3 linked regions of the Oryctolagus cuniculus genome follow. The protein of the gene in region 1 purifies or fractionates together with the protein of each later gene. This does not show direct contact. Links are inferred from orthologs where the notes say so. Each region holds a gene or a part of one and is shown on either strand. Other genes may lie near its edges.

Evidence for each region.
Region 2: the proteins of SIK2 (region 1) and PPP2R2A purify together in Homo sapiens (affinity purification with mass spectrometry; 3 studies listed by BioGRID and IntAct, with this or other methods). This does not show direct contact. The link is inferred for Oryctolagus cuniculus from reciprocal best matches to the Homo sapiens genes SIK2 and PPP2R2A.
Region 3: the proteins of SIK2 (region 1) and PPP2R2C purify together in Homo sapiens (affinity purification with mass spectrometry; 3 studies listed by BioGRID and IntAct, counting the BioPlex papers as one, with this or other methods). This does not show direct contact. The link is inferred for Oryctolagus cuniculus from reciprocal best matches to the Homo sapiens genes SIK2 and PPP2R2C.

What each region holds. Positions count from the first base shown.
Region 1 is NC_091432.1:103,681,387-103,692,350, reverse strand, and holds the end of SIK2 (serine/threonine-protein kinase SIK2), read right to left. Parts: intron 10,553-10,964; coding exon 10,445-10,552; intron 9,140-10,444; coding exon 9,048-9,139; intron 8,800-9,047; coding exon of another isoform or gene 8,667-8,799; exon of another isoform or gene 8,240-8,666; intron 8,160-8,239; coding exon 7,590-8,159; coding exon of another isoform or gene 7,571-7,589; exon of another isoform or gene 6,213-7,570; intron 6,177-6,212; coding exon 6,152-6,176; 3' UTR 4,834-6,151; coding exon of another isoform or gene 4,801-4,833; 3' UTR 3,881-4,800; coding exon of another isoform or gene 3,723-3,880; 3' UTR 1,886-3,722; downstream 1-1,885. Other genes in the region: PPP2R1B (serine/threonine-protein phosphatase 2A 65 kDa regulatory subunit A beta isoform), read left to right, coding at 3,743-3,880. UniProt on the Homo sapiens protein: Serine/threonine-protein kinase that plays a role in many biological processes such as fatty acid oxidation, autophagy, immune response or glucose metabolism.
Region 2 is NC_091433.1:47,867,588-47,877,832, reverse strand, and holds the end of PPP2R2A (serine/threonine-protein phosphatase 2A 55 kDa regulatory subunit B alpha isoform), read left to right. Parts: intron 1-141; coding exon 142-311; intron 312-2,205; coding exon 2,206-2,297; intron 2,298-5,695; coding exon 5,696-5,975; 3' UTR 5,976-6,330; downstream 6,331-10,245. UniProt on the Homo sapiens protein: Substrate-recognition subunit of protein phosphatase 2A (PP2A) that plays a key role in cell cycle by controlling mitosis entry and exit. Involved in chromosome clustering during late mitosis by mediating dephosphorylation of MKI67.
Region 3 is NC_091433.1:3,562,422-3,572,667, reverse strand, and holds the end of PPP2R2C (serine/threonine-protein phosphatase 2A 55 kDa regulatory subunit B gamma isoform), read right to left. Parts: intron 9,995-10,246; coding exon 9,903-9,994; intron 5,132-9,902; coding exon 4,840-5,131; 3' UTR 4,789-4,839; downstream 1-4,788. UniProt on the Homo sapiens protein: The B regulatory subunit might modulate substrate selectivity and catalytic activity, and might also direct the localization of the catalytic enzyme to a particular subcellular compartment.

The sequences.
Region 1 (10,964 bases):
TAGAAAGACCGCTGGCTGGGGTCAGCTGCCCCTCTGCCTGCCTGCCGTGATCTGTGGTCCCAGCTTAATCCCCAAGTGGAGGCAGCTATGCCAGTGGTGGTTCTTTGATGGAGGCCTGCGCTTCCGGCCACACTCGGGTTTGTCTTCTGAGGGCCACTGCCCAGTACGATCGGTGTGGTCTCACATCCCTGTAGGGCTACTCAGCCCCAAAGCCATTGGCTGGGGTCATCGTGAGAAGGGCAGAGCCACACTCAGCCGCCAGGGTGCAGCAGCTGTGGTCCATGCAGGTGACATTCCCTTTGTGGCCACGTAGCACCCAGGACATAATGGGCACAAAGCCCAGAACTTCTTTGCACGGTGCCCTTGGGCTGCTGGCAGAGCAAGAGGTTACCCTTAACCAGATACACCCAGGAAGAAGGAACTGAAGCAAGAACCTTAACTCTGAAAAGCGTGGCGCCTATGTCGGGCGTTCCTAACCTTGGTCCTTTGACAGGCCTCAGGAGGTCCAGGAAGCAGCCGCTCCCAGAAAGTACCACGTCCCACAGTATGTGTCTGTATATGCATGGCTTTTGAGAAACCTCAGTTTTTCTCAGCATGGTAAAAGGGACAGTGATTCCACAGGTTCAGAACTAGTAGGGCAGAAGGGAGCAGCTTGCCAAGCACAGCACCTCGGGCCCTGGTTCCGTGTGGTCCTGTGTGGCGACAGAAGACTCTGGAAGGCCTCCCGGGCCTGCGTTCCTCCACCTTCTTGTAAAGTGCCTCTGGCTTACAAAGGCCACGGAAGCAAAGGCCGTCCAGGGGCTGCCTGGCTGCTGAGTTTCTGGCCAGTCTGCGCCAGCCACTTTTTGCCTGTAGCCTAGGGCAGTGGAGTTGTTATTGGTAACATAGAATGAAAACGATGGAGAAATGGGGTAGAAATGGGGAATGTTTGCGAGACACTGTTAGTGAAGTTTAGTGATTCTGTTAAAAAAGTGATGCTGGATTCTTCGGTAGCACGGGGGTAATGGCTGTGTCAAGGTCGGATTGAGCGACTGTTGACTGGTGCAGGGGAAGCCCGAGTTGGCAGACAGGCCCCCGTTCCAGCTCTTCGCTGGCCGTGGCCTGTGCCTGCTGCACCTCCACCTCTCCCACTCCCACCCCTGCAGCCAGCAGCTGATTCCTGTCTGGGAACTGCAGCATGGACTCAACCGGGATGGTGGGAGTGAAAGTAAGTCTCAGTTGCACTCAGCGCTGGGAAGCAGGCTGTAACACACTGCCCTGCACCCGGGCCTGGCACTGCCAGTCCAGACATGTGAGCCACTTGCAGAAGGGTTCTCCGGCACCCCAAGGGCATGGAGTTGGGTCTCACAGGTGTGCTTGTTCCTGGGATGGAGCCCATGGGGTGTGCCCATGGTGTCAAGGCTTTTGGCAGACCCCAGAGAAGGTGTGACATCGTGATTAAGTCTCAGTGTTTTGTGTGGAGCTGCCTGGCTGCTCAGAGCCCCCCACCCTCCTACAGCTCGCCTGCCCTGGGGGACATGGACAAGGGCCCGCAGGCCTGCCTCCCCCCCCTCCTGTGGCACGAGGCCCTTGGCCCATGGGCTTTGCCCCAAGACTAAACTCAAGGAGTGTTAATTGGCAGTGCCCAGTGGGGCCCTGTGGGTGCAGGCTGCGGCGAGCAGCGCTTCCGTCAGCGGTGTGCAGTGGCTAATGTGCTCTCCGGCGACTTGGAGCGGTGTGGTATTTACCCTGCTGACGTCAATGGGAACATATCGTCCACTGTCCTCTTCTGCGGCTTGAAATGAGCACCAGGGCTCGGAAAGCTCAGCCGCTGGCCACGCTTTTAGAATTCCACCTGCTGAGGTAAAGGCCCTGTCTCATTAGCCTGACATTCATAGCACACGTATAGAAAACAAGTTGTTTTTATTTTAATTCAAGAGGGTTGGAAACATAAAAACAGTACATTTTCCTTGCAGAAAATTACCCTATTTAAATTGCCATTTGGTACAAAGATCATTTATTAAACTGCATTTTAGGCAATTTTCTAACATTGAGTGACGGGCTACAATTTGATTTTTTTCCCCCCACATTGGTGCTATTATGATTTGCATTCAAAATACCAAAGCTATTGAACTCACCAATTTTTTCTTAGTAATTAAAAAAAAGCACACAGAAAAAAATAACTACAATTAGGTTAATTTATCAAAAGTAACTCTTTCACAGACCAAACATCCACCAACACCTCCCTCCTCCTTCAGAAACAAGCAATGATCTTGCCCTTTCTACAAAGTGCAAATATCCTCTCTAGATTTTAAAGTTGGACCCCCAAAGAGAAGCAAACCTCCTTTCTCTCTGCCTTTCCCTCCTTCAGAGGTTTTGATGAAGGCAGATTTTTTTTTTCCCATCAGTAGCAGGAAGGCTACTTCCTTGACCGAGCTACTCGCTACTCGTGGCCAGGCAGGCATCTCACAGCCAGAGGCAAGTCCCGTCCCTGGGCTTACAGGTGTAACATTCCAGTTAGGGGTCCTGTTTTTCAAGGATGTGGTTTTGTATGTCTGTTTTTAAAGCTCCTCCCTCCTTACCCACATCTGGAAAGACAACCTCTCCCATTAGAGCATGTTCTTTTTCTAACCCTAAAGGTGTCTAGAAGACTCGCTGACAAGGACCGTAAGGTCGTGGTTCCCCGAGCAGCGCCCTTCCTGAGCTGGCCGTGAGCTCAGCTGCCTGGCGGTAGAGCAGGCTGTGTCCTGCCGTCAGGCGGCCGTCGGTAGTTACTCTAGCGTGCAATGCCTTTGACAGGAGCCCGAACACCTGTAGTTGCTGGACGCGAAAGGCCAGCTTGTCTATGGGGTCTGTCGCACACAGCCTTGCTGAATGGATGCGGGGGCCCCCTGCACAGCGGCAGTCATCACCTGAAGGGCGTCTCTGCCGAGGCAGGGGGCTGCCACGTGGGGGGCGTGGCCGCGCCTGGCAAACATGGGGGCTTTGTTTATACAGCTGTTCGCCTATGCAAAGACTCAGCTGCCACCGAGCAGGGAAAGAGAGTAAGAAGCCAGAAACCCAATCAAGATGCCAGTCAGCCCAGTCCCGGCCCTGCGCTCACACGCGCCTGACCTCCGTGAAGCACGTCAGCTAACGAGAGCCCTGCCTCCCCGGGCCACAAAGACAGGGACAGGATCTCTCGACTGCCGCGCGGGGTGGTTGAGGATTAGGAGAGGTCACTTGGGAAGGTGCTCTGTTCACTGGCGGGCAGGCGGGCCGGCTGGAACTCTCGCCGCCCAGGTCTGTGGGCAGGGCTGCGGCCCGGTTCTTAATCTGCGCAACAGTATGTGCTGACTCTGCCAAACGTGTTGAAATCTGCTCCGATGAGAGGTGGGCACGGGATGTGATGCAACCAGGACAGCCAAGAGTCTTCTAGAACTGAACAGGCCACACCTTAACTGGGGGGGGGGAGGGAGTGGTAAAAAGGGAGAGGGCACTGGGAGATTAGACTCTAGGCCCAATGGGCCTTGAAAGGCCACTGACTTTGTCTATCCTGCCGCCCTCAGGGTGGCAGAGAGCTTTGTACTCGTTTCCCATCCTGTTAGAAGGGAGGTACGGTTTCTTACAACTGTTTTCTGTTCCGTTTAGAAAGTTCTTGCTCTCCATGCATCACTCTTGAAGTTCTAGAAAACATTTCCAGAAACAAAATGATCAAAGATGCCTGCCTAAACAATGATTGCAACTGACTACCTGTTCTGCAGTTTTTACCTTTGATGTCTAGGCACAAAGAGACCGAACGGCGCGGGTGGCTTCCAAGGAGGCAGTAGAAGCAGCCCAGTGTAGGGGTACCCGTGCGGCAAAGGTCAGCCCCTGCAAAGGGATTCTGCAACTATCCACTGGGACCAGTGTTGTCAAATGACCTACGTTCTGTCTCTAGAGGAGGAACGTGAAAGTTACTTGCACTATCAGTTTTCTTTACGCCTTACAGGGAGCTTGAGTGTAACTGTCGATAGAAGTTTTAAAACGTCATCCAAGGCAGAAAAACTCTGATCCCAATATATTTAAGAACCTGGGGCTTCCGCAGAGGTTGGAAGACCCTCACAAAAGCAGCAGCACTCACTCCGTCCAGGTCACCTAGCCAGAGGCTGTTTCAACGCCCTCACTCCAGGGACCCTAGACCAACTGTGGCTAGAAGGCGGTTCTTACGGCCCTTCATTCTTCTGCCGGTCACCCAGGCACTCTCCAGCTGAGAACAACCCCTCCTCTCAACTTGGCAGAATTCTGTAAATCTCTCTGCCACAGACTCTGAGGACACCCAGTGTGTGGGAGAGGTCGGTCCCCTGACAAGTCCCTTCTGTAGGGGCCTGGAGCTGACGGCAGGGGTGGGGTGGTCTCCCACAGGGTGGTCCTTTCTCCCTCCCCATAAGGGTACAGGGTGCCCCGTTCCTGTAGGGCTCAGAGCCAGGCAGGAGCACAGGAGTTGAGGGCTGTTCTGTCATAATCCCAAGCTTCTGACGCACGCCTGCGGCCCCAGGACGTGGTGTAGACCACTGAGTTCTCGATTCTGGGGAGGCAAGGTCTGATGCAGGGAGGAGGGGCGTGCTCACACTGTGGCACTGTGGGTCCTTCTGTCCCGTCTCTAGTCCTCCCAGTGACACCCTTGCGGTAGATTCTGGGTGGTGGGTGCAGGAACCGCTGGTCCCTTCCCTGGCCTAGGGTGGCAGGTGGGCAGAAGTGGCGAGGGGAGGGCTGGGGCTGGTCAGTGTAGCTTACTAGGAATTTAGAAGTGGGACGGCCGCCCCCTTTCTGTTGTGCTCACATGCTGTGTTTGCCTTACAGGGACCAGCATTATCAGCTGCATGTAGATACTAGAGACACACTTGCCCAACTGGAAATGCAGAACTAGTGCATTTTTCCCAAAGCAGAGACTAATACCCCTGGATTAAAAAAAAAAAGAGAGAACATACACAAAAATAAAAAAGTACCACACATATTGCACTTTTTGCTGGATGAAATTTTTACCTCGCATTTATCTCACCAAAGTCTCTTCAGAGGAGCCTGGTTTACAAGATAATAAAGCAAATGATTATTATACAGTAGTGTACACACTGCTAACATGAAACAGACTGGAAAGCAAGTCAGTATTTCGTGTAAGTAGAGTGGCGTAAGCCGCCTTAGTGTTGCTACGGGTTTACGAAGAGCAAACTGCTGGCAGCTCCCAGCGGACAGCTGACTGACACAGAACCAGTCGCCTCTCCCCCGCTTACGTTTCAGCTAATAAAGGTGGCTGCAGAGTTTCCCAATTTCTGCTTGAAATGAGCTAAACAAACCGGGAGCTCAGAACCCAGCCTCCGGCCTGGTCTGCCCTTCTGCAGGCCAGTGTCCGCCATGCCTCCACTCTGCTGACTGCCACAGGCCTGGCTACTGCGCTTGCGTCCTGCTCGCTCTGGGCCCTTCAGCCTCCCAGCACTCACTCTGTCGGCCTAACTGCCCTGCCGGAGTTCCTGGGTCTCCTGGGCTAAGGAGCGCAGCCTTGGTGGGGGCAGCCACGTATGCCAATCTGTGCCATTCCTGCAGTTCTGAAATGAGCGGTCCCATTTTCAATCTGGAAGGCATTCTAATTTTTAAATATTACAGCACTTCTGTAGTACATTTTGGGAAAACATCCTCCTTCAGTCTAAACAAATCAAGCCGTTTTATAACTGGCTTATTTTGCAAAGACTTAAAACAGATTAGAGATCTTAATGAAATGATCTCTTAAATGAAATGAAGTTCTCTATTTCATGACACCATCCATCTTAAGCACAAGGAGGAATAAACAACCCATAAAAGGAACATAATTCATCCTTCCTGGATTTTTACTGCCTGTTATCAAATCACAAAAATGACGGTCCCCCCACCCCCACTGCTTTCTCCTGCTGAGTCCTTGAGTCCAACTCCAGGCAGAGCACCTCAGCAAAGCATCCTGGCACCGGTGGCCACCGTGAGGCACTGTCCAGCTGGCAACAAGGACTGCTCAGGTCACCCACACTGGGGGGGCCAGAAGACTCCTTAGGCTTGCCATGCTCCCCTCACCTGTCTGGACACTTACTACAGAGGAAAGGCAACTTAAAGGTGTTTTCTAGATGCAGCATCAGTGGAGTAGCTCTCTTCTTTGTGCTTTAAGGAAGACGCTTTGTGCTTAACGCATTCATCTGCTGACAGGACAAGCCATTCTAAAGGATAGAAATTAATAGTTTTTATAAATAATACTGGATTTGTAACACCTGGGTTTTAGTCTCCGCGTGACAGATGACTCATTACTTCTAGGTATACAGGAAATTAGCTGGAGCATCTAGTTTTCACTTCCTATGATGAATGGACTAAGGGCTGGGTTCTACTAATAATGTCAGGGGTTTGGCAGATGATCTGCTTAAACGGTTAACACATCTGTGGTTCTCTGAATATTGCTGTGAATACTTGAACATTTCATTACAAGTCAAGATTTTAAGGAAATTAATGCTGATTCCCACATGGTGGAAAACAAACTCTGAAGTGACTTTGGATTTAGCCTTGACATAAATGCAAAACCGGGTTTCTACAGAAAAGAAAGAATTAAAGCATGATCTCCGGGAGAAAGGCACAGCACTACCACTTCACATGGGACATCAAAGGTCATTTTTGTGTCATTATGGTTTCTAAGCCCTATATGAAACTGTCCAAATATACAAAGCTCAGGAAACTATTAGCAACATAAGGTGTAAAGTCAAAGGAGTTATTACACTGCAGAGAGACCAGGGATCCTCTGGAGACCAACTGGCCCAAGCCAGAAGTCTCCACAAGAGACTGCAGGAGCAGCCCGCCTGCCCTGGCCCAGGGCGGGTACTCTCCTCGCCTCGGCCCCCACTGCAGTGGCTCTCCTGACATCTCTGTAGTCCTCAGTGTAACCCAGCGGCCTCTTCTGAAGAGGTGTGTCACCTGCTTCCCAAAGGAAACGACTGCCCGGCTCAGGGGTCAGCACCAGCTGTTAGTGGTCCCGGAAACAGAGCTGATACTCCACTGCTTTGTGATGGCCTTGGGGACAACTTGCATTAGCAGCTAAGAACTTAAGATGACAAAATACAGCTTTCCTTTATTTCCTGCACATCAAATTCCATTATGTATTCTTGATTTGCCTTGAAGCAGTATGTTTGTTGCTTGGCTTCAGTGAAAATATATTGCCTTTTTATTTGCCCTATTTATAAATGCAATAGCACATCTTTTTCTTGCTTTGACCAGGGTTTCCCTCAAGAATGAACAGGCATAATTCTGCATAAAACCTAGATCTGAATGTTGTCATCTCATAAAAACATCTGTTGGTACCTCCCTCAAGATCTTGCTCCACTTGACCTAAGGGCATGAGCTGCAGCCTACAACTAGGTTCCAGCACCTGCCGCAGAAAACTGTGGCGGGACAGAGCCAGGAGGAAGCAACACCCACCCCAGCCAGGCCCTCTGTTTCCAGTTGGGTGACTTGATTTTTCCCCATTAGGGAGAGGGCAAGAAAATAAGCTTTACATTTAAAAGGCTGGAATAAAAATAGAAACACACAGTCTTCCTTCACTGGACCCACCTCACTTCCTGGGCTGAGATTAATTCACCAGGACATACCCATTGTGTTGTGGATCCACAGCGTCCAGCATTTCACAATCAAAGAGTCCCGGTAACTCAGAGAGGGCTAGGGGGTCGTAGCTGGAGGGATTCTCTTGCAGTCCAGAGCTCCTGGGACAGTCTGTCCCTGGGAGGCTGCTCTGTTGGGCCCCGTCCACGGGATACTGACAGGCAGCGGGGTAGTCTGGCACAGGAGCAGCAGCACTGGGCAGCTCGCAAGTCTGATAGGAGAACTGTAAGGGCGCTGTAGCAGCTCCTGGCTGTTGTGGTGGCGGTGGCGGTGGCGGAGGTGGTGGCTGTGGCGTGGAGGGCAAGGGCTGCAGCTGCATCTCCTGGTACTGGCTGAGAAAAGGGCTGTATTGCATTTGCTCGGAAGAAGGCTCCAGGACGGGACTCAGGGGCTGGGTCAGGCTGAACGGTGGGGGCTGCTGGGATGGTGGCGGAGTCTCCTGGTGGGGCAGGGGCAGCTGCTGACTTGGCTGTGGGTAGGATCTCTCTGCTATCTGCATCTGATTAAAATATGCCTGCAGCTGAGACTGCTTCTGGAGGAAGAGCCGTTTCTGCTGGAGCCTAAAGTGACACATCAGAAGGAAGAGTCACATGACGGCAGTTTGAACATACACAGGGACTTCCAAAACTTCATGGAAAAATGGAATTAAACAGCAAATTTATTTTAGTGCAAAAAGTATCTGAAATCCATCCATACAAAAAGCCTTCAAAAACTTCATGGAAAATTTGTATTATGAAACAAACATGCATGAATCTCAAAAATGTTTATGCCCAAATAAACCTAACTGTTTTTTCCCAAACCAAGCTGTTTTTGAAATGCTCCCGTGAATGCAAGCCGGGCACCTTCAGGCCCCACTCCTCTCCTTCCCATGAAAGGAAAGGGTGAGCGGGAGTAGGAACCAGTCAGACTGGGTTTCTTAAACTTCATCTCATGTTTTGTTCCCTCTGGTTCTGACTGACCCCTCAGTGCTAACCTGAGCACAAAGGCATTTTCTCTAAGACTTTTTTTCCGCATAAAGTTAGAGGCTGATTTCCCACCCATGGTGGGCAGTGGTCAGGCGATGAGGCCTAGACCTCTGCAGGTCGATGGATTCGGGGAATTCTGTCTTGGCCAAGCTGCTTCAGGTGAGGCCTGGGGACGTTCTCTGTGGTCTGACTTAAATTGCCTGAGGCCACTGCTTCTGACCGCTCAGGTCTGGTCCTATCCCAAAGAGGAACCGATGGAAGAAAAGGAAATCAATGCACATTTTAAGGCCATTTACACCTGACGAGCCCAAACTCCATGGACCCAGAATATCCTCACAGCAATCACGCTTGAGAAGCCTGTGGGCCTGGCATCAAAGCCTGCTTTCCGGGTGGATGTAAGCACGAGGGGCAAAGGATAACACATGCAGCAGTCTCCAAGCTTCCACAAAAGGAAGCGACTTTTTCGGCCAGAGGCCCTCTCACCTGTGTTCCTGCAGCTGCTGTTCAAGGCTCCGTGGTGGTTCTTTACAATAAAGCGGACAGGTGTTCTGAGCCTTTGACAGGAGGCCGGGCTTCTGGAAGAGCGGAGAAACAACACAATCGTGACAACATGCTGTCATGAACACTCAGTCATCAGACTGCTTCTGCCTGGACTGTGAATCCAATTGTGCCCTCCAGAGCCCATACGGGATGAAGAGACTGGCACCTGCCCATCAAGACCCTGGGAGAGGGCCGGGCCAGCAGGTGTGGGCTGCCTCAGATCTAGCACACTAGTTTTCCACTTCTGAAACTCCTCGGATTGTGTGAGAGGGGCCGGTGCCATGGCTCACTTGGCTAATCCTCTGCCTGTGGTGCTGGCATCCCATATGGGCTCTGGGTTCTAGTCCTGGTTGCTCCTCTTCTGGTCCAGCTCTCTGCTGTGGCCCGGGAGGGCAGCGGAGGATGGCCCAAGTGCTTGGGCTCCTGCACCCGCATGGGAGACCGAGAAGAAGCACCTGGCTCCTGGCTTCGGATCGGCGTAGCTCTGGCCATAGCGGCCATTTGGGGAGTGAACCAATGGAAGGAAGACCTTTTTCTCTGTCTCTGTCTCTCTCTCTCACTAAACTCTATCTGTTAAAAAAAAAAAAAAAAAAAAAAAGAGAGAGAGAGAGAGAAAAGTAGAGTTAAATTTGGTAACAAGGCCCTGGCACCTGCTGAATGCATGATGAATTCTTTATGGGATCTGTGTGTGTTATATATCTTTAAAGATGTTCATGCTCCAGTGTAGAGGACTCAAAACTTTGTGGTTATGAGATTTTGATTTCTATATTATTCATTAAGAGTTTGTTTAGGGGGCTGGTGCTGTGGTGTAGTAGGTTAAGCCTCTGCCTGCAACACTGGCATCCAATATGGGTGGCAGTTTGAGTACTGGCTGCTCCACTTCTGCATCAAGCTCCCTGTAATGGCCTGGGAAGGCTGTGGAAGATGGCCCAAGTGCTTGGGTTCCTGCACCCACGTGGGAGACCCGGAAGAAGCTCCTGGCTCTTGGCTTCTGATGGGCCCAGCTCTGGTCATTGTGGCCATCTGGGAAGTGAACCAGTGGATGGAAGATTCTCTCTTTCTGTAACTCTGCCTCGCAAATAAATAAATCTTAACAAAGAAGCCAGGTCTCCCATTCTTACCACTCAGTGTCTCCCAGGGCCTGAGGACAAATGCTTTCCCACTGCCGGCACAGACCCTAACATGTTTCTAGAAGTGCCGAGTCAAACCTACCTGCCTACACAGAGGGAAAGAGCCACCCTAACTAAATGCCAGGCCTGCCAGGCCAAGCAGGTTTCGGCCGTGCAGAAGCAGGTGCTGGATGAACAAAGTGAGCCGAGCAACAAGGGGGAGGGTCCCACCTGGAGTCTGTGCGGCAGGTACTGGGTCTCCAGGCTTTGCCGCTGGGAAAGCTGATGCACACTGGGAGGCAGCGGCGGCACGCTTTCCTGCTGCTGAGGACCGTCCTCCTGAGAAGCAAGAGGGTGACACCTGTGCTTAACTCGCCACGTGCAAAATGTTCCCATGCTCAGTGTAAGTGCTTCTGCAGTGTCCAAGAGAAATCCTAACTGTGAGACATAACACTCCAAGTCTTGACTACTACAATATCCCTGATGCACTAAAAACAGACCCCAAATAAAAAGGATTGGAAAAATAGCACTGCTTACTGTATTTTTAGCATGAATAATAATGTGACAAATCACATCACAAGTAGTGGCAAGAAGCTTCTCCTTTGGGTGACTGACGTGGATTCTTTTGTGTGGGTGTGGGTGGTGCAGGGGAGTTCAAGGGAGACTATGAGTCACCCACATACGGCTGGCTGGCGGGTGTCTGGGCCTCTAGTGGACACTTGGAGGAGCCTGGCTGGCTGTGTCAGTGGCA
Region 2 (10,245 bases), on another chromosome or scaffold:
CAGCCAGAGAGGTATTTTTCAGTTCTTTATTAGCCTGTCATTTTATCTTGCTCTTAGGAAGTTTGTGAGTGGCTGTTTAAGGAAATGCTTTGTCTAAGCCAGAATATTGTACACGTTGCCGTTTTTTTTGCTTGTTTTTAGTGTTTGAAGAACCAGAAGACCCCAGTAACAGGTCATTTTTTTCCGAAATCATCTCCTCTATATCTGATGTAAAATTCAGCCATAGTGGTCGATATATGATGACTAGAGACTATTTGTCAGTCAAAATTTGGGACTTAAATATGGAAAACAGGCCTGTGGAAACATACCAGGTATTTGCAGTTTTCTCATTCAATGAGCATGTACCCTCTTTCATGTTTATAAAGAAGAACTTTGTACTAGGTGTACAAAATATTTTTTGTACTCACTATTCTACAGTTTTCACTGTTAGACATTTCCCCTCAAAGATCCAAGAGTGTGTTGCTTTTCCATATGTTAAATTTTGTATAACTTAAAAGATTGTGTTGTCATTCAATTTGCTGTTAACATATGATTTGGCTGTCATTTGATTCAAGAGTGTCTTTATTTTCTGCTGCGGTGTACATTTAAGGCAGAGAGAAAAGAGCATTAAAAACCAGTAAGGTCCAGGCAGGATGAGAATTGGAGAGAATGGCAGGCCTGCTTAGAGATGTGCATGCTCTGATTGGAAGATGTGCAGTAATCACTGAAGTGGAGCTTCAGTCTGGCATGCTGAGTTGAGTGAGCTCATTACTGGCTTTCATCTGATAGCTATAGTCTTAACATTTAAAGAACAAGGGTTTGAAAACCTAGCAGATGGCTAGCAGAGTTGCCTACTTGATCAATTTTAGGATGTCAGTTGTGAATTCTCTTGTCTTTCAGCTATTACCATTATTCCCTGTTCTCTGCTTCAGAAATAGAAAAGGAGTGAAAAAGCACACAATTGTCACTGAGTGGGAACAGCAGGAAGTTGTGTTAGGCCCTAGATTGGTGTAGAGAACACTTCACCTAGCCTTAGGAGTATGCAGTTCAGTTTATAGGTGATATCTTCTTAATGTGTTAGTATCTCAATAAAATTAGAATGAAGTTTCTTTCGAATCTCCTGTGATAAGCATAAACCACTCAAGATTCTTTTTAATGTTATTTGGAATTTCAAAGTAAATGCTACATTGAAACAAAAGCAATGAGATAAAATTCTGCTTTGTTTTCAAAGTACATTTGTGTAACTGCCAAGATTGATACATCTCCAAGTTATTCTCACCACCAACCTGTTGCCATTGAGAATAGTTGACTGGAATCTTAGCTTTCTACCCTTCAATAGTTTGGTGAGAAACCTTGTACTGTGTGCATTCTTATTAATTTTTTTGTATTACATGTTCACATTCAATCCTAATTCCACATGAGTTGGAGTTCCTCTGTATTACCAATTTTCACCTGATGTCACATAGACACGGTCTGTTTCATTCTACTATAATTAAAGTGGACATCCAAAATTTTAGTTTAGGTTGTTTCATAAAGAATAGAGAATTCTCAGCTTTTTAAGGGGTACCTATTCTTTCCTAGCGTTACTTTTTAAGGATCTCTTTCAGTTAAAAGTAATAGTAAGATAAAGTACATTTCATTGACTGTTAACATTTTATAAGTAATATCAAGTGATGCTATAAATTTTTAATGGTGCCTACCAAGGGTGTCCATATAATTTATCACCCGGCCAGGGCATGGTCATGTTATGGAAAGTATATGCATTCAGTTAAAAGCACAGTCCTCAGTTAAATTATGCCCAGGAAATGGTATTCTGGAAGTTAGTAAGCATGGTATTCATAGTTTTATCAGCAGCTAAAAGACTTAAAACCAAGAAGTGATAGTCAAATGGTGCTGTAATTTTCTTTTATGAGGTGCATATCTGTACCTTCTAATTTTTTCCATCTTAAATGTTTTGTTCAGGCTTACAACGGGTTACATGTGCCATACTAAGAAGGGAATTTTTCCCTGTCATTTAGGAGGAAAATTTTGCAGCCTCTTTGAAAGGCACATTTCTGTTACTGAGAGGATTGAGACTTAATGAGAGAGGAGGACTGTGTTTACATATATTAAGCCCTTTTTTGTTGTAAAGATAAGGGCTTTTTAAAAATACTTCTCTAAATTAAGTAGATAAATGTGTTGAGGTAAGCTCAGGTATATATGTTACATATCTGTGTTTTTCCTCAGGTGCATGAGTACCTCAGAAGTAAGCTTTGTTCACTGTATGAAAATGACTGCATATTTGACAAATTTGAATGTTGTTGGAATGGATCTGACAGGTAATTGCTTTTAATTTAAACTTAGAGAAAAGGGGTTTATTATTGCATTCTTCCTGGTATGGTTGCCAGTCACAAAAAATAGGGCTTTTTCTTTGAGACTTATTTATTTGAAAAGCAGAGAGGGAAAGATTTTTCATTCACTTTTTTACTTCCCAGTGACCACAACAGCTAGGAAAGGGCTAGGCTGAAACCAGGAGCCTACAGCTCCGTCCCAGTCCCCCACATGGATGTCCGGGACCCAAGCACTTGGACCATCTTCTGTCTCCTTCCCAGGCTTGTTTGTGAGGAGCTGAATTGGAAGTGAAGGAGTCTAAACTTGACCTCACACTTCAGTGTGGGATATGGCCATCTCAAGCAGTGGTTTAATCTACTTTGCTGCAACACCTACTCCCGGCTGACTTTTTTTTAGGTTGACATAAATTAAAAGTCCTAACTTCATTTTTTCCTTCGAGATTCCTTGAAATAAATTTAATAATCTTAGTTTAGTATAGCAATACTGGTCCATAAAAGTGAAGCATTCTTTCACTAGCAGATAGGAGAATATGTAGAATTTATAGATTTTTAAGAATGTTTTAAGGACCAGATAAATCACATTGACATACCAACAATTTATTTTTTATTTTTATTTATTTATTTTTTTTTGACAGGCAGAGTGGATAGTGAGAGAGAGAGAGACAGAGAGAAAGGTCTTCCTTTTGCCGTTGGTTCACCCTCCAATGGCCTTCGCGACCAGCGCGCTGCGGCCGGCACACCGCGCTGATCCGATGGCAGGAGCCAGGAGCCAGGTGCTTTTCCTGGTCTCCCCATGGGGTGCAGGGCCCAAGCACCTGGGCCATCCTCCACTGCACTCCCTGGCCACAGCAGAGAGCTGGCCTGGAAGAGGGGCAACCGGGACAGAATCCGGCGCCCCGACCGGGACTAGAACCCGGTGTGCCGGCGCCGCTAGGCGGAGGATTAGCCTAGTGAGCCGCGGCGCCGGCCGACATACCAACAATTTAAATGGTGAAATTTTGGTTCAGTTACTATCCTATTGTTGAACTATTCTTAAAATATTTGGGCAGCAGATATATTTCACTTGTGTTACTATGCACCAGTTTTTGTAGATTTTTTTTTTAATATTTTTTTTACTTATTTAAGAGGTATAGTTACAGGTTCAGGAGCCCAAGTGCTTGGGCCATCTCTCTCTCTCTCTCTCTCTCTCTCTCTCTTTTTCTTTTTTAAGATTTATTAATTTATTTGAAAGAGTTACAGGCAGAGAGAGAAAGAAATCCTCCATCCACTGGTTCACTCTCCAGATGGCCACATTGGCCGGAGCTGCACCAGTCCGCAGCCAGGAGCTTCCTCTGGGTCTCCCACATGGGTGCAGTGGCCCAAGGACTTGGACCACTTTCCACTGTTTTCCCAGGCCATAGCAGAGAGCTGGATCAGAAGTGGAGCAGCTGGGACTCAAACTGGCATCCATGAGGGATGTCAGCGCTGCAGGTGACAGCTTTACCCACTATGTCACAACACTGGTCCCTGGGCCATCTTCTACTGCTTTCCCAGGCCTTAGCAGAGAGCTGGATTGGAAGAGGAGCACCCAGGACTAGATCGGTACCAGCTGCAGGCAGAGGATTAAACTACTGCACCACAGCACTGGTCCTCGGTTTTTCTAGATATTGACACCTTATGGAAGTAGTAATAAGTCTTTCTTTCAGTCTTTTAAATGTCAACATGTACCACTTACTATGTTCCGATAAAAAATAGTAAAAGAAAGCAGCATTTTGGAGTTCTTTTAAAACTACATTTAAAGTAGAGATGCTTACTTTATACAGTAGATTCATCCTGGTTTCATGATGTTATGTGTTCTAGAGGATATTAAAACTTGAAACATTTAACTTTTAAAAGTTTCAGCCATACATTGGTTCGGTTGCTCCTCTTCTGATCCAGCTGCCTGCTAACAGCCTGGGAAAGTGATGGAGGACGCGGCCCGGGTGCTTGAGCCCCTGCCCTCTCGTGGGAGACCTGGAGGAGGCTCTGACTATTGGCATCAGATTGGCCCAACTCTGACTGTTGCAGCCATTTGGGGAGGAAACCAGCGGATGAAAGAACCTCTGTCTCTCCCTCTCACTGTCTATAACTCTGCCTTTTAAATAAATAAATATTTTCTTAAAAAAAAAATGTTTCAGCGATAGACTAGGCATCCTAATCAAAACCTTACAGATTTACATAGTGAATCATTTTTAAGAAAATAAGAGTTTATTGTATGTAGGGACGTGTACCAATTTGAGTTTGGTTAAAAATTGTCTGTTGAGTAGATGAAAATCATTTGTTTTTAATAGATAACTTGTGTACATAATATACATAGTACAATAGTGATTTGAGCCATGTGGAAAGGAGATAGTAAATGGTAGTAGTACCAGTCAGGCCCTTCCTGAGTTATTAATGATTTTATTTTTGTCAAATTTGGTTGATGAGGCTGTTTTGTAAATATTGAGCAAATAAGACTGACAAGAAAGTGTCTTGGGCAGGCTAGGAATTTGGCACCCTTTTCAACTCACACTTATAAAAATACTTACTTAAAATGTTCTTAGTGGTACAAATTATTTTCTGTTAAAAAATATTACATGCTACTTTCTTAATAGTCTCAGGAATAGATTTTATTATAAGCATTCATAAAATGTGATTATCTGAACCAGGCCTTGGGACAAATTAAATAGCTTATAGTTTAAATTAGAAAGAATTAGTTTCTCCCTTCCTTCCTTTATTCATTTGAAAGTCTGAGCCACAAAGAGGGAGAGGCAGAGACAGGAAGAGAGAACTTTGTTGGTTCACTCCCCAATTGGCCACAGTGGCCAGGGCTGGGCCAATCTGAAGCCAGGAGCTTCATCCCGGTCTCCCACGTGTGTGCAAGGGCCCAAGGACTTGGGTCATCTTCCGCTGCCTTCCCAGGCTCATGAGCAGGGAACAGAAGTGGAGCAGCCGGGACTCGAAGTAGCACCCAAATGGGATGCTGGTACTCTGTGTGGCAGTTTTACCTGCTTTGCCAGAGCACTAGCCCCAGCATTGGTTTCTTAACAGCTGTTTCATGCAGTTTGGTTTTAGAATTGCATAGATGTTGCCTACAGCTGCAGAAAATGCAATCATGACAATTCACTTCTAAGACATTTTATTTGAGGGTACTGTTCAATTTTCTCTTGATAGTTTTGGTAGTCGTCTAAAGGAGTAATTGATAAAAAAAAAAAAAAAGTAAAATATCTCAGGTGTATTCCAGTCATTGAGTTGGTGTCAGCAGTCTTGTCTGTTAAAATCTGCTTTAAGTAGCTGTTTTCTGTGTAGTATCACGCTAGGTTTAATTGTTCTGCTAAAAACAATCTCTTGTTCCTTTGTTTGACTGAATGTTCTGTCTATTTTTACAGTGTTGTCATGACTGGATCTTATAATAATTTCTTCAGAATGTTTGACAGGAACACAAAACGAGACATAACCCTAGAAGCATCACGGGAAAACAATAAGCCTCGCACAGTGTTGAAGCCACGGAAAGTCTGTGCGAGTGGCAAGCGAAAGAAAGATGAAATAAGCGTTGACAGCCTAGACTTCAACAAGAAAATCCTTCATACAGCCTGGCACCCCAAGGAAAATATCATTGCTGTAGCTACCACAAACAATCTGTATATATTTCAAGACAAAGTGAATTAGTGTTGGCATTCCTAGCAGAGGAGCCCACTTCCTGCTTAGTTGAGATAGTTGAAATCTAGCATTCGTACCTATAAAAGAGAGAGGTCCATTGTGGTGCCCCTTTCCAGTGTTTGACAGTGTGCCATTTGACAACACATTTTTATATAGCTACATGGAGAAAGCTCTGTGGATTCATCACTGTGGTGTTCTCCATGTCTGCTAGCCATTTAGGTAAGGGTAGGGCACTTTTAATTTAAATGACTTCTTGCACCATCTTGCCTAATGGACTAGATTGGACTGTATCAACATTGATTTACTCCACTTTTTATGCCTTCCATTGTGATGATGTCAAACACAGTGAAAGCCTTCAGTCATGCTATGGGATTTAATTGTGTATCCTCATTACTGTATCATTGTGGGGTACACCCCTCCCTCCCCCTTTTTTAAATTAAATACAGCTCATTCTTACTGTGGCTTGTAGCATTCCTCCTCTCTGGCCTCCTGGACTCTTCCCCCTCATCTCTTTTACCTTTGCCCCCTCCACCCGACTTGGTGGTGGTATATTAAAAAAAGAACGAAAGCACACAAAATGAGTCAGTTTGGGGTTTAGTGGTAAAGGGGGTGTATGTTGCGAACAAATGTTTTAATAACAGTTGGCTGTAATCACTCCTTGCCATGTCTGGCACTGAAAATAAGGAAAAAAAAAACTACTACTGAATAAAAGTGACAAAGAATGGAGAATCTGGTTTTCTTTTTCTTTTTAATCTACCTCTTTAAGCCAGTATTTTGTGACATACCCTTTTGGACACCGTGAAATGAAATGGGTTTCCATTATTTTATTAGTATTTTTGTTAATTATTTTTATCAAGTGTTCTTTTACATGGAAAAGGAGGGGTATTGGTTCTGTATGAACATGTTTTAAATATATGTTGGTATTATTAAGGTTTTCATAATCTATAAATGCTACTAGAGACTTTTTACTGTAGTTATGAGGGTATTGGATACATTGTATCAACACTTAACTCATCTGTTAAATTGTTGTAAATGGGATCCAAATTTGTAGAACTTCATTTTAAAATGACTTTTTACAGTGCTTTGATTTTTTTGCCTTACTAAATACTAAGTCAAAGACTAAAATGTTTTTAACAAAAACTTTTTTGTCATTCAGTCTTACAGCATAACATTAACATCAAATGATCTAATACAAATTGACACTGCACTACTTTTTTTGTATTTTATTACTATCAAAGCAGAATGAAATGTACTTTACCATAGATATTTTCCTTCTATTTTTGATTTTCCAAAGCTGTATTAAAGACAAAATTTTAAAGGTACAGTGTTAAAAAAAACTGCTTACTGGACTCCCCACAGCTGGCCCTATAAATAAAATTTGGTAATCTGTGTATGACTACATTTTCCCTAAGTGGTGATACCTTATCCAAAGATGAAGAGTGTCCCTATTTTTAATAGGTGGAATATACCTTTGTCAGTCTTGAAGAGCTTTAATGGAGAAAAAATGGACTTTATTTTTAAAAGATGCATTGAGCAGGCATTTATATTATTAGAGAATGGTAGTATATTTTGGTTGAGCAATAATATAACAACCTTGAATTTTAGAGGACTGAATGCTTCTTATATGTCCACTACCTATTGTTCAGATGCAAATTTGATTAAATATTTCATCATAATTCCCTCTACACTTATATAAATATTATGTCTTGTAAGTTAACATTTTTAGCACGCAGTAGAAATTTTATGTAATAAAATTACTGTCTCTGGGACTTAGCAAGTCTGAATTTGTATTTAAACACTGATTATTATATGTCTGATAATTTTTAACAGCACTTTTTCTAATTTATTTTGGGATCATTGGTATATTCATAGTTTGTGCTATTTATTCTTCATACTAACTTGTAAGTGGAATATTCCCCTGCCAGAAGTATCAAGTAGTGATACTGTGTTTTCTGATGGAGCAACTCTCCAGAACATCTGTTTTGGTCGTGGTTTCCCTACACTTGGGTTGTATGCTTGATATAACATAACTGAATAGCTCTTGGAAATTTATTTTTGATTGATCAGTAGCTAAGATAATTCTCACCCATTACACTAAGGGATAGTTTTATATATTTGAGTGAAATGCTTCTATAAGGTATGCTATTATAAATTGTAACATTAAGTATTCATTTTCAAATTTCTTTGGTGTAGCAAACTACGAGCCCAGCCACTCATTTTATATGGTCATGGTTAATCTTTTTATTAATAAAAATTATACTTAGAATGAACTTAGTCTTGTCAAGTTGCTTGTATTTCCTGTTCTCTTGTCACTAATAAACATTTTCTGTCCTTTCTTAACCTTTTTAAAAGATTATGATAGGAAAGAGAAGTCTCATTCTGTTAATCTCTATGATCTTTACTTAGTGGCTGGGCAATAGTAATAGTTAAAAAGCAAATCTTATAAACACTTTTATATACTAGTAATTACGGGAAAGAAGATTATGGAGCCCTCAGTCTCTTGGAATTAAAAAAAGCTATCCATGTACTTTTCCTTTAAAATTAGGAGTCTGTTAAACCTTAAATGTGAGTTCTGGGTAGAGATATTCCTTAAAACAAAACAGTTCCTATTTTAGTGTGTTGGCAGTATTTTGTAACAAATTACTTTGGTGGATCTAAGAAGTGTTGGGGTAGTCTCAAATGCTAAACATCTTTTGTAATTGAGTTTTGTCTTGACATGTTACTGAATAATGATATTAGACTAACCTACTACCTTGAGAGAATTAAAAGACTTCAAGGGTTAAGATTAGTAATCTAGAAAATCAACTCCATAGCACAGTGTCTGTCAAACACAAGACACTACAAAGCTCAGTTTCCTTCCAAAAGGAAGGATTTTATGAACATGAACGGGCTTAAGGAGAAAAACTAGTATTTGTTTCTGCTTTAGTTTTTTAATGTTCTACTCAACATGTATGCTTCTTAGTAGTATTTGAGTAGCTACATGCTACGTTAAAAGAGTTTCCCACTAGGGGGCAATGGTTAAGTCTTAACAGCATCTGTGAGATAATTTGAGAATGGTTTTCATTATTAAAGACCAAATAAGGGACTGAAAGGAATATCTAAAGTGTGCATACTCATATATGCCCAAATAAAGCTACGGCTCAACATGACCCTGGACTAAGTGAGGACCATGTGATGGAGGAGGAGCTCGGATGCCAGGTGTGGTCTCGTGCTCAGACCTTCCTAGGAAAGCATCAGAAACAGATGAGCTACCCTAGTGGGATACTCTAGCAACATAAAACTCCCAGTCACATTTTTATTTTATTTTATTTTTTTTTTGCTCTTGGGCTTGTAATTTTTACAGAAAGTGTAATTATGCATATTATTTAATGTCCTCTTTCACCACTTAAACATCTTGAGTGGTTTCCTAAATGAGGTGTTCATTGTAAGCAAGATTTGCTTATCAACACAGCCTGATGTTGCATGTTCCGTAATTAGCTGAGGCTGATTTTCATTTTGTAAACAGAAATATTAGAATAGTGAACGTAACCTAATTTTGGTGTGTAAAATGATTAGGATACATTGTTAGAAATGTAATTGCTGTATTAGAGTATATGGATATATTTCATATTTGGTACATAATGTCAAATTTCCCTTTCAAAAGTTCCATCATAAATACACAGAATTAGCCATCATTTTCTTCCAAAATAAGGTCTGCTTTTACCTTTTCCTTCAGTGCTTTTTTTTTTCTTTGAGAGGCAGACAGGTCCTATCCACTGGTCCACCCTGTAAAGTCCCAACAACCAGGGCTAAGCCAGGAGCTGAAAACTTAATCCAATTTTCCCATGTGAGTGGCTGGAACCCCAACTACTAGAACCCTTATTACAGAACCAGGACTCCCTAGGCACTCCAAAATGATTCCCCAATGAACAGCTTAACCACTAGGCTGCATGCCCACCCATCAACATTGCCTTTTGAGAAGCAGAAATTCATAATTCTCATGAACCCACTTTGTCAATATTTTTAGTTTTTGGATTATTCTTTGGGTGACATCTGAAACTTGCTTAACTCAAGATCAGGAAGATTTAATTTTAGAAGTTTGTGTTTTTCTCTTTACATCTAGGTCTGTGATCCATCTGGGTTTGTACATATGACATATATAAAAAAGTGTATGTGCCACAAGTAAATTGAAGCTTTCCTTGGTACCTTTGTCAAAAATCAGTTGACCGTGTGTGTGTGAGTCTATGCTGTCACCAGTATGACACTGTCTTAATTACTGTAACTTAAGTGTTGAAATCTG
Region 3 (10,246 bases), on another chromosome or scaffold:
GCCGTGTACACAGTCACAGCGGGGCCCTCAGCCCCTCCTTCCCCGGGAGCAGTAGCCCTGGTTTCCAGCTGCTCTGTGGCCCAGCCTCCCCTGCAGCCCCCTGCGGCCAGGGACCGAGTCCCAAGCCATGAGGCAGCTGGGAGGGAGACGGGCACTTCCAGGCCACGCCCCGCAAGGACCCTCTCCCGTGGCTGCCCGGACAGTGACAAACCCCAGGGACCAGGAGCAATGAGTTCAGAAAGGCCTGGGCAAGGCGGCCTGGCCTGGCCGGGGGCAGCACCGCACCTGCCGGGCGTTTTCTGGTGTTTGGGTGTCCACAGGCGGGGCCAGCCCAGGGTCCTCCTCCAGGCACCAGGGAGCCCCCCCCGGGGCGGGGGAGCGTGGCTACTGCCTCAGGAACAGCAGGGAGGCTGGCAGGGCCCCTCCCCCGGCAGTGGCGGGGCGGGGGGAAGTGCGTAGACCCCGGCCCACCCTTGGCTGCTGCATTCCCGCGGCGCTCCTAGGGCTGGCTGGGCCCGGCGGCCACAGTGGTAAGCACACTCGCGCTCAGGCTTGGCGGCAATGTGGGGAGGGGGTGTGGAGTGGCTGCCCGGGGGGCTGGCCCTGCTGTTCACATCAAGCAGGAGGAAGTGAGGCCCCCAGGGGGAGGGGACAGCCCCAGAGCATCACAGCATGGTGGGGGCGGTTCGAAGCCGCTCCCAGCGCAGTCTCACGGCCGCTCAATGCACGGCTGGCCAGATCTGCACACCTCGGCTGCGACCCCGGCCCCGTCCACCTGCTCCTCTGCCGACGTGTTAGGGGTACACGGTCACCGCTCCCACACCCTCCCCCACTGCTCCCTCCTGAGGCCACCTCCGGTCCTGCCCCCCACGTGGCCTCTGGGCACAATTCTAGCAGCAGCAGGTGCAGACGCTGGCGCTTTGCTTCTGCGAAGGTTTGCAGTGACTCCCTTATTTCGAGTTCTGGGAGCTTCACGGTAACCAGGAAACCTCCCCTTGGGGGCTGGGGTCGCCCCTTAGTGGCGGGACTCCCGCCTCGCACCTCCAAGGAGCAGTTCGGAGAAACCAAGGCAGGGAGGAAGGCTCGGGCCCTCTTCCTCCTTCCCGGGAGTGACAGCATCAAGTGCCCACACGCACTGCCCTCCGCCCCTCCAGCTGCCAGATCCGTCACCTTCCTGCAGGCAGCCCAGAGGCCCCTAGGTTCCTGTGCAGTGCACACAGTGCCTGTCCACTCAGGCCCGGGGAGTCCCCGGGGAGTTTCGCTGGGCCTTGCGGCTGCTGGCTGCCCCCAGGGGACTGCACCTGCACCTTGGCTGTGGCTTGTATCTCGGTGCAAATCTGAAGCTGCCAGGAGCTCCGTGTGCCCCTGCGGGGGAGGGGCGCCCGGCCAGTGGCCCAGCGGGATGCTTTGGCTGAGCAAGGGCCTCGACTAACCACCAAGAACGTGGCTCCTCGGGAAGGAGGCCCGGCAGGGTGGGGCGGGCGGTCCTGGCTCTCAGTTGGTGGCCCCCTCCAGCTCTTCCCACAACCCCCAGAATCTGGTGTGACCCCACCCTACTGGGCCTGCTCCCCATCCGCCCCAGTGCCTTTGTGGGGTTCTGTGCCGGCCAGCTTCCTCCGGACGCCCCCGCTGCCGGCTAAGGCTCTAGCTTTGCAGCCTCTGACCCATTTCCCACTCACCGTGAGCTTCCTGGCTCCCAAAAGCCTCGGGGCCTTCACCCATGTCCGCTGCGCCTTGCTGGGTTCCCATGTTGGACCCCTCGCTCTCCTTGCAAGCGAGGGTACTAAGTCGGTGCCATGCACAGGTCGCCGGCCCCTGCCCAGGTGCCAACACTTACCCACAAGGCCCTGCTCAGCCAGCGGCCCCAGGCCCACGCTGCATTCTGGGGACACAGCAGGGAGCCAAAGGCCCCCTGACGTCACATCGGCTGAGTAAGCAGAGCTGGGGGCAGCAGGGAGCGGGGGGCAGGGCCAGGTGAGGCGCCGGCTCCCGCTCGGGAGGCTCGGGGGAGCAAAGGGTGCAGGGAACCCACAGGTGAACCAGCACCCGCGCACACCTCAGCCACGGCAGCCCGGGGCCGGGCCTCTCTGGTTTCTGTGTGAATCTGGGAGGCGCAGGCGCAGTGGGGCTGCCGGGGCAGCCGTGGAAACGCGGTGCCAACACGTGCCAGCCATGAGGCCTCCGGCTGAGTGTTCAGCCTCTCCGGCCCTCGGTCCCTCCTCGGGGCGTGGCTGTTTGGAAATCCCAGTGAGCCAGGCACGCCTGCGTCAGCACGGATCAGAACAGGGAGCCTGTCCCTTACTGAGTGCTCACGGGCCAGGCACAGGCTTCACGGGGGCCATCCAAGCCCCTCTCGGCCCCCTGGGAACTCGTCTGCCCTCTCAGCAGCGCCACTGCTCAGAGCTCACGGGTTGGGGCTGGCGTCGAGGCCCAGCTGCTCCAGCCGCCTGGTCCCAGACCCGGCTGCTCCGCTTCCCATCCAGCTCCCTGCTAATGCGCCTGGGAAAGCAGCAGAAGACGGCTTGGGCTTGGGCCCCGGCATCCACGTGGGAGACCGGATGGAGTTCCAGGCTCCTGGATTTGGCCTGGCCCAGCCCCAGCTGTTGCAGCCTTTTGGTGCGAGAACCAGCGGGTGGCAGCTCTGTGTCTCCCAGGTACTCTGCCTTTCAAACAGACTTTTTTTTTCCCAATGAAGGAGAGGTTAGAGTCGCCGCAGGTGCTGGAGCAGCCGAGCCGTGCGGAGCCAGGCAGCCAGGAGAGCCCGGTGCGTGCCTGGTACATGCCACCAGCCTCCCCGTGCCCGGGGCAGGCCTCGAAAACACAGACAGCCCCGGGAGCCCCGCTGTCCATGGAACATTTGTTATTTTATTGGAAAAAGCTGGTATTCACATATTTATAATCTTATTCAACAGTTGGATAATTTGTGAGACACCAAAGACAGACTGCACCTAGGAGAGTCCAAAACGGTCGATCTCCACCGCCAGAGGCCCCGCCGGCTTCGTGGGGACCAAGTGAACCCTGCACGGCACCAGCGCGCACGACCACGGGCGCGCGCCACCTCCCGCGGCTTCCGGGGTCGCCCCTCCCCCTCCGATCCATGTTGTAGGATGCACCATCTGCTTTGCATATCTGGATCTTCCCAGAGACCCAAAGATACACGTTTCTCCGGGGAAGAGCTCTGTACTGTGTTTCTTTTTTTTTTTTTTTGGCTTGCTACCCAAGTTTTCAGACGGAAAAGCCCTCCTTTGCAGAGCTGTAAGACCTGGGTTTGGTCGGTCTGACAGCACTCGAGACAGCCGCACCACACAGCCAGGCAGTCACGTGGGGCCCTCGCAGCTGGATTTGGCTTCCCCAGCTTTCGACACAGCAGACCCCACCCCTGGGAACCTCTTTTCAAGGGGGACAAGCCGTCAAAGAAGCTTGGATTGTGACGTTGAATCAGAGCAGGTGTGTGCACGGAACACTGCCCAGGCCACCTGGGCCGTCCAGTGAGAGAGAAACAAACATTCATTCATGTTGATTGCAAAAGAAAAAAACACCAATGGAGCCATTGCTGCGCGGGGACGCCCCGGCCGGCAGCCAGCACACATGCGATCTGTGCTCCTACACACGGGGAAGTACGCCGCCGCCCGGCAGGCAGGGGCTCAGTGGGGCCCGGCCGGCCTTGGGGCCATGTTGCACGTGGTTACAGAAAGACACAAACGGAACGGACGGAGGCGGCCCGGCTGTGCTCTGCTCGCCGAGGGTTCTGCTGGGCCCCAGAGCAAAGGCAGCAGGGCGTGGGCTGGCGTCTGCCGGGGCGGGGACCCTCTCCCCACGTTCTCTGTGGCAGCGGCCCCCAGGACTGCACGTGGGCCTTCTGGAAGTGTCCTCGAGTGGTCCCGGCACCAGGTCCTCTGGGAAGCCATCCATGGCGCTTGGAGAGGAGCTGCAGGTGCATCTGTGGCGGAGCGACGCGGCCCGAGCTGGGGGCCAACTCCCGACGCCACCAGACAGAGCGAGGACCTCCCCACCTCCCATCCTGCCTCTCGGCTGGCCCCGGCCACCGTCACACCGGCCCCGGCCCAGCTCCCGAGACGGTGGGCCGTGTGCCTTCCAGAACTTTCGTGGGACGCTGAGCCCACGCCAGGGCCTGGACGGGATTCCACCTCGGGCAGCGCGGAGCCTCGGCCACCTTTCATGGCTGGCCGGAGCAGAGGGGGGAGGGGCTGGCAGGGGGCGGGTGTGTGGGGGGTGGGGGCGGCGTCTGTTTCCAGGAGGTGCCCAGTGAATGCTGGTGGGGACAGGAATGCTGCAGAGCGAGCAGCTGGGGGGGCAAAGCAGCCTGGCAGCGGTGGGGGGGCGGGGCTAGAGGGGGCGGAGCACCAGGCCTGGGCTGTTCGCTCAGTGGGGTGAGACCCCCCTCCAGGACACAGCGCTGCCCCTGGGTCCTAGGTTCCTCAAAGGTCGCTAAAAACCAAAAAAAAAAAAAAAATGAGCCTGCACCTCCAAGTTCTCTGCGTGAATTCACCATCCCAAACCAGATGTGGGACAGCCAGCCGGGAGCCGGGGCCAGCCGCACCATGGACAACGTGAGGGACCTGGCTGGCTCGTCTGCGCTTCACTGGCGTCCCCAGAGCCCGAGCCGGGCCCAGCCCCAGCTTCCCTGGCCGGGGGACCCTGTGGGAGTGAGGAATGAACTAACGATGTGGGAAAGACCGCTGACCGCGACGGGGGCGCCCTGCCCCTGACTCCCGTCCATTTGAGATCTGTGGCTATGAATCCTTCCTTAGAAAACGAAATCCAGACAGCGACCGCCGACCGACCGCGGCGGGGCGACCCCCGGGCCGTCCCGGGGCCCTAGTGCACGTCGGAGTTGACTTTGTCCTGGAAGATGTACAGGTTGTTGGTGGCGGCGATGGCGATGATGTTCTCGGCCGGGTGCCAGGCCGTGTGCAGGATCTTCTTGGTGAAGTCCAGGCTGTCCACGCTGATGTCGTCCCGCCGCCGCTTGCCGCCCACGCACACGCGCCGCGGCTTCAGCACGGCCCTGGGCTTGCTGCTCTCCCGCGAGGCCTCCAGGGTCACGTCTCGCTTGGTGTTGCGGTCGAACATGCGGAAGAAGTTGTTGTAAGCCCCGGTCATGATGACGCTGCGGGGGGGGGGGGGGGGACGGGCAGGCGTCAGGGCGGGGGAGGACGGCCAGAGCGCCCTGCCCCGCCCGTCAGGTGACCTCACTGCACACACCGTGGGGCCAGGAGCTCCGCCCCAAGCACAACCAAAATACTCCCCTTAACCCCTGGACTTCAACGACTGTGCCAGCCCAGAGACAGCAGCACAGACACTGGCTGGCCCCCTGGGTCACCAGATCCCTCCCCAGCCCCGCACCCCCGCCTGCAGGGGAGGCAACCCCGGTGCGCTGCCTGGCTGCAGCGTGCCCACTTCCCCAGGCAGAGCTCTCGGTTCTCTCCCTGCTGGAGACAGGGCCTGGCGCTCTGCAGCTGCAGGGGGCCTTGTAGTGGGGAGAGGAGGAAGGGGTCCCTGGGGAACGGGGCAGGGGGCCCTGGCTCAGTTCTCCATGGAGGCGCGAGCCAGCCAGGATGCCCCCTTCCTGTCCAGATGCTGGACGGTGCCCCTGAGGGCGGCCCTGGATGGCATGGGACCATGTGGGCTCACAGGGGCTGTCCCCAGACAAGAGTGACCACAGGTGACCCTGGAGCAGTGTGGTGCAGAAGAGGCAGGAGTGTGCAGGCCCCGTGCAGGCCAGGCCAGCCAGGGACGGGGCTCCCATGAGGCTCAGAGGCCCCAGGCAGCCCTGTGTCCCGGGCTGACGGTGGTGGGAACAGAGACACCATCAGGCAAGTGCGGTACCCGAGGCCCCAGCTCCTAGTGGGCACCAGGGGAGGCGGGCCCTGGGCCAGCCGGGCTCACGGTGGCTATTGACCAGGCCGGGCCCCGCCCTCCTACTCCGGATGGGAAGGGACCCCCAAGGTCCAGCCCTGCCCCCTCACAGAAGGGGCTGGGGAAGTTTTGGCCGAGGATGCCCGCTGGGGGACGTGAGGCTCCATGTCAGCCCGCGAGCTGCCCGCCCGTGCCATGAGCCTTGGTGGAGCCCACGGCGTGCAGCGCTGCCTTGGCTGTCACCTCCCCTTGCCATGAACCGGCTTCGTCTGGTGGAGGGAATGAGAACGCCCCCCCCCCCCCAACACACACACAGTGGCTCTGCTCCTGGACATCCAGCCAGGGCCCCCGCAGGGGCAGAAGCACCCAGGGGCCGGCTGGGCCACTGGGGAAGAGCTCCACATGGAGGCAACTCAGAAAGGTTCTGGAAGGTTCTAAGGCACCAGCCAAGCCTGAGGGGGGGAGGGAGGGGCCAGAGGAGGAGGAGGGAGAAGGAGAGTTGGTGGGGGCAGATGGGAGAGACGGAGGGGGAGAGAGAAGGAGGAGCGAGAAGGAGAGTTGGTGGGGGCAGATGGGGGAGAGACGGAGGGGGAGAGAGAAGGAGGGAGCTGGTGGGAACTCTGCGTGGGGGGGCATGGGGACAACGGACTGAGGGGACACACACGTGGCCTCTGCGCCGCCCGCCCTCGGGTGTCCTCTGCTTCCTCCACTGGCTGACCCCTCCCCGAGGGCAGAGGGCTGCGGGTGCAGCCCCGGGTGGGGGGCCCGAGGGAGCTGCCGCGGGGTGGGCAGGGCCTGTCCTGCCTGGCTGGGCCTCGGTGTGGGGGGCCCAGGACCCTGTGAGGACACCAGTAGCAGAGCCCACGGCCGCGGGAGGCTGCTCTGGGCGCAGGGACACCGGTGCGTGCCAGGATGGCCGGGGGTGGGGCCTTCGCGCACTCGCCACGCCCAGCTCAGCGCCCGCCGGCCCACGGGGCAGCAGAGGGCCGTCCTGAGCCATGGTGGGGGGCTGTCTACACAGCATCCGTCTACACAGCCTGGAGCGTATAGGGGACCATCAACACAGCATCTGTCCACACAGCCTGGAGCGTGTAGGGGATGTCTACACAGCATCTGTCCACACAGCCTGGAGCGTGTAGGGGACGTCTACACAGCATCCATCTACACAGCCTGGAGCATGTAGGGGACGTCTACACAGCATCTGTCCACACAGCCTGGAGCATGTAGGGGACGTCTACACGGCATCCATCTACACAGCCTGGAGCGTGTAGGGAATGTCTACACAGCATCCGTCTACACAGCCTGGAGTGTGTCAGGGGACGTCTACACAGCCTGGAGTGTGTCAGGGGACGTCTACACAGCATCTGTCTACACAGCCTGGAGTGTGTCAGGGGACGTCTACACGGCATCCACCTACACAGCCTGGAGCGTGTCAGGGGACGTCTACACAGCATCCATCTACACAGCCTGGAGCGTGTAGGGGATGTCTACACAGCATCTGTCCACACAGCCTGGAGTGTGTAGGGGACGTCTACACGGCATTCATCTACACAGTCTGAAGCGTGTCAGGGGACGTCTACACAGCATCCGTCTACACAGCCTGGAGTGTGTCAGGGGATGTCTACACAGCATCCGTCTACACAGCCTGGAGCGTGTAGGGGACGTCTACACGGCATCCGTCTACACAGCCTGGAGCGTGTAGGGGACGTCTACGCGGCATCCATCTCACTTGCAGCAACAAGTGTGTTTCTTGCTTCCTCTGAGGTTAAAGGTCAGGGCGGGCGGGGACGGAGCGCAGACCTTCCTCCTGCCCTCCCTGCCACCCCTGGAGGCCTCCCCCCTCTGGCAGCCCTGGGCCAAGGGCATCCCTGCCCGGCTCTCTCACGACCCCTGCCTGGGGCTCCTGGGGCTCCCGGGTGCCCTGACCCTCAGCTCCGCCCTCAACACCCACTTTCTCCCCTGGAACACGCTGCCCCCGCTGCCCAATGCCCTCCCACCCGCCGCGTCCAAATCCATGTCCAGATCCAAACGCTGCCTCGTCAGAGGGCGTCCAGGCCCCCCAGCCCCCCAGCCCCTCCAAGCCCCCTGCCCGGGGCATCCCGCTGACGCGGCCCCGCCCCCCGCCTCGCATGCCTGCTGCCTGCAAACCAAGGCCCACGCGTGCAGGCTGGCGGCCACACCCTGGGAGGGAGCGCCGGCTGACCCCGGCTCAGGGCACGACCCCAGCGTGCCTGCCTGGCCAGCAGGCGCCGAGGCAGAGGAGCTGCCCGGGGCCCCTGGACGCCCCGCTCCTTGCCCATGCTGGTCTGGGGCCAGCGGGGGGCAGCGGCCAGGCTCCCGCAGGACGCGGTGCACGGGTGGCCACTCCCACCTCTGCTGAGCGCCAGCGCCGGGCGCCGCGGGGCTAGAATTTCCCGAAACATGGGCAGCGGCTTGCTCTCTGCTGCCCTCAGGTGGCGCGGTCAGGCACTCCGGCTGCGTGCACACCCCTCTGCCGGCCACCCTCCGCCCTGCTCCGGCCCCCCCCGGGGGGGGGGGTGTCCCATCCACCCCTGACACGAGACCGGGAGGGAGCCGGCCCCCGGGGGGGTGTGAATCAGATCCCGCACACTGAGCGCTCAGAGCGGGGCCGGGCTCAGGTCACCGCCCTGCCGGCATCTGGGAATGCCAACGGCCACTCCTGCTTCTGGTCTCGGTGCCACGGGGCAGCGCCTGCTTAACCAAGGGAAGCGGAAGGGGACAGCAGAAGGAGGAAGGACGCCCGCCCCGGGGCACGGGGCTGGAGGAGACCACCCCTCTCCCCCGCCAGCAGGGGGCAGGCAGCCCCTCCCTTGCTCTCCGGGGAGCAGCTGGAGCTGCACCATGCCGGCTGTGCTCTGGAGTGCCGAGTGCAAGTCAGCACAGTCACGGGCAGCCCGCACAGCTGCGCCCCCACGTTTCCCTGGCCCAGCAGCAGCCCCCAGCCCCGAGCTCTGGGGGAGGCCAGACCCCACCCAGCACTGCTGTCTGCCCCTCTCTCAGCGGGACACAGGGCGGCCCTCTCCCAGCCCCCACTCCGCCTCTGCAGGTGAACAGCAGGATGCTGGCTGCTCTGTCCCCAGCCTCCTGTCCCCCCGGGCCCCCTGGCCCATGGAGCACTCTCCTGCCTCTGGCCTGGGCATGCAAGCTGCGTCCACGCTGCCTCCAACGGTGGGCGTGTGACTCACAGAAGGCCAGTCGGATCCTTCCACGAGGCTTCGACTGGACCCTGGCAGGGGGCCCACCTGGGGTGGTCGTCCAGGAGGAGAGGGCTGCAAACACACCACGAATGACCTGCTCCCACACCACGGGCCAGCGAGCGCGTCACAGGGGCGGGGGAGACGGCAGACAGGCTCGGCGGAGCCCCCGCGGCCAGCACAGACCCACGACCTCGCCCCCCGGCATCCACGAGGCCCACCCTCCCAACGCCAGGAAGGCTGGAGAGACTCACAGCGGGAGGGCGGCAGGTGGGGGATGGGGACAGGGTGAACGGGGTGGGTGGGGGATGGCGACAGGGTGAACAGGGGGCTGCTGGAGTTGGGGGAGGGGCACAGAGAGGCAGAGACAGCAACGGGAGCCTCACGTCGTGCTCGGGAGGAGGAGGTGGCACAGCCCACGCCTTCTAGAAGGCTCGGCAGCCATTGCCCAGATCTCCTGGGGGCAGGCGGGTGAGCTCTAGGGCAGGTCTCCAGGGGGCAGCGCGGAGGGGCAGGGGAAGCCAGGGCTTGGCACTGGCGCCTGCGCACGGGCGCCCCCTGGTGGCAATGCGCGAAAGCACATGCAGCAGGTGGCGGCCGGTGGAAATTCACCCCCAGTTCTCACACCCAAGGATCCAGGCGGATGTTGGCGACTGTACCTGCTCAGAGAGGGCGGGCCCGTTCCCACACCGGAGCCATCAGAGCCGATTAACCACCAGTCCCCGGGATGCATCTCACCCAGTCGCCAGCCCAGGCCCGCTGCGCCGGGTGTGTGTGTGTGTGTGTGTGTGTGTGTGTGAGGGTTACCTGTCACTCCCGTTCCAGGCACACTCAAACTTGTCGAAAATGCAGTCGTTCTCATACAGGGAGCACAGCTTGCTCCGCAGGTAATCGTGGACCTGGAGGAGACGGGCAGGGGTGAGTGGTGACGGCTGTCAGCCTGTGCCGCCCTTACACCCGGGGACACCGGGATGTCCCACCCGCATCTGCACGCACAAATCCTGCCCATCCTTCAAGGGCCAGCCCAAGCGCCACCTCCTCCAAGAAGCCTCCCGCATCCCCCCAGCCAGAGACACGGCTGGAATCAGCTGCGAAGCAGCCCCTTCTCTCAACGCCACGTGAATTTCAGTTTGTGCCCCTTCCCACATCTG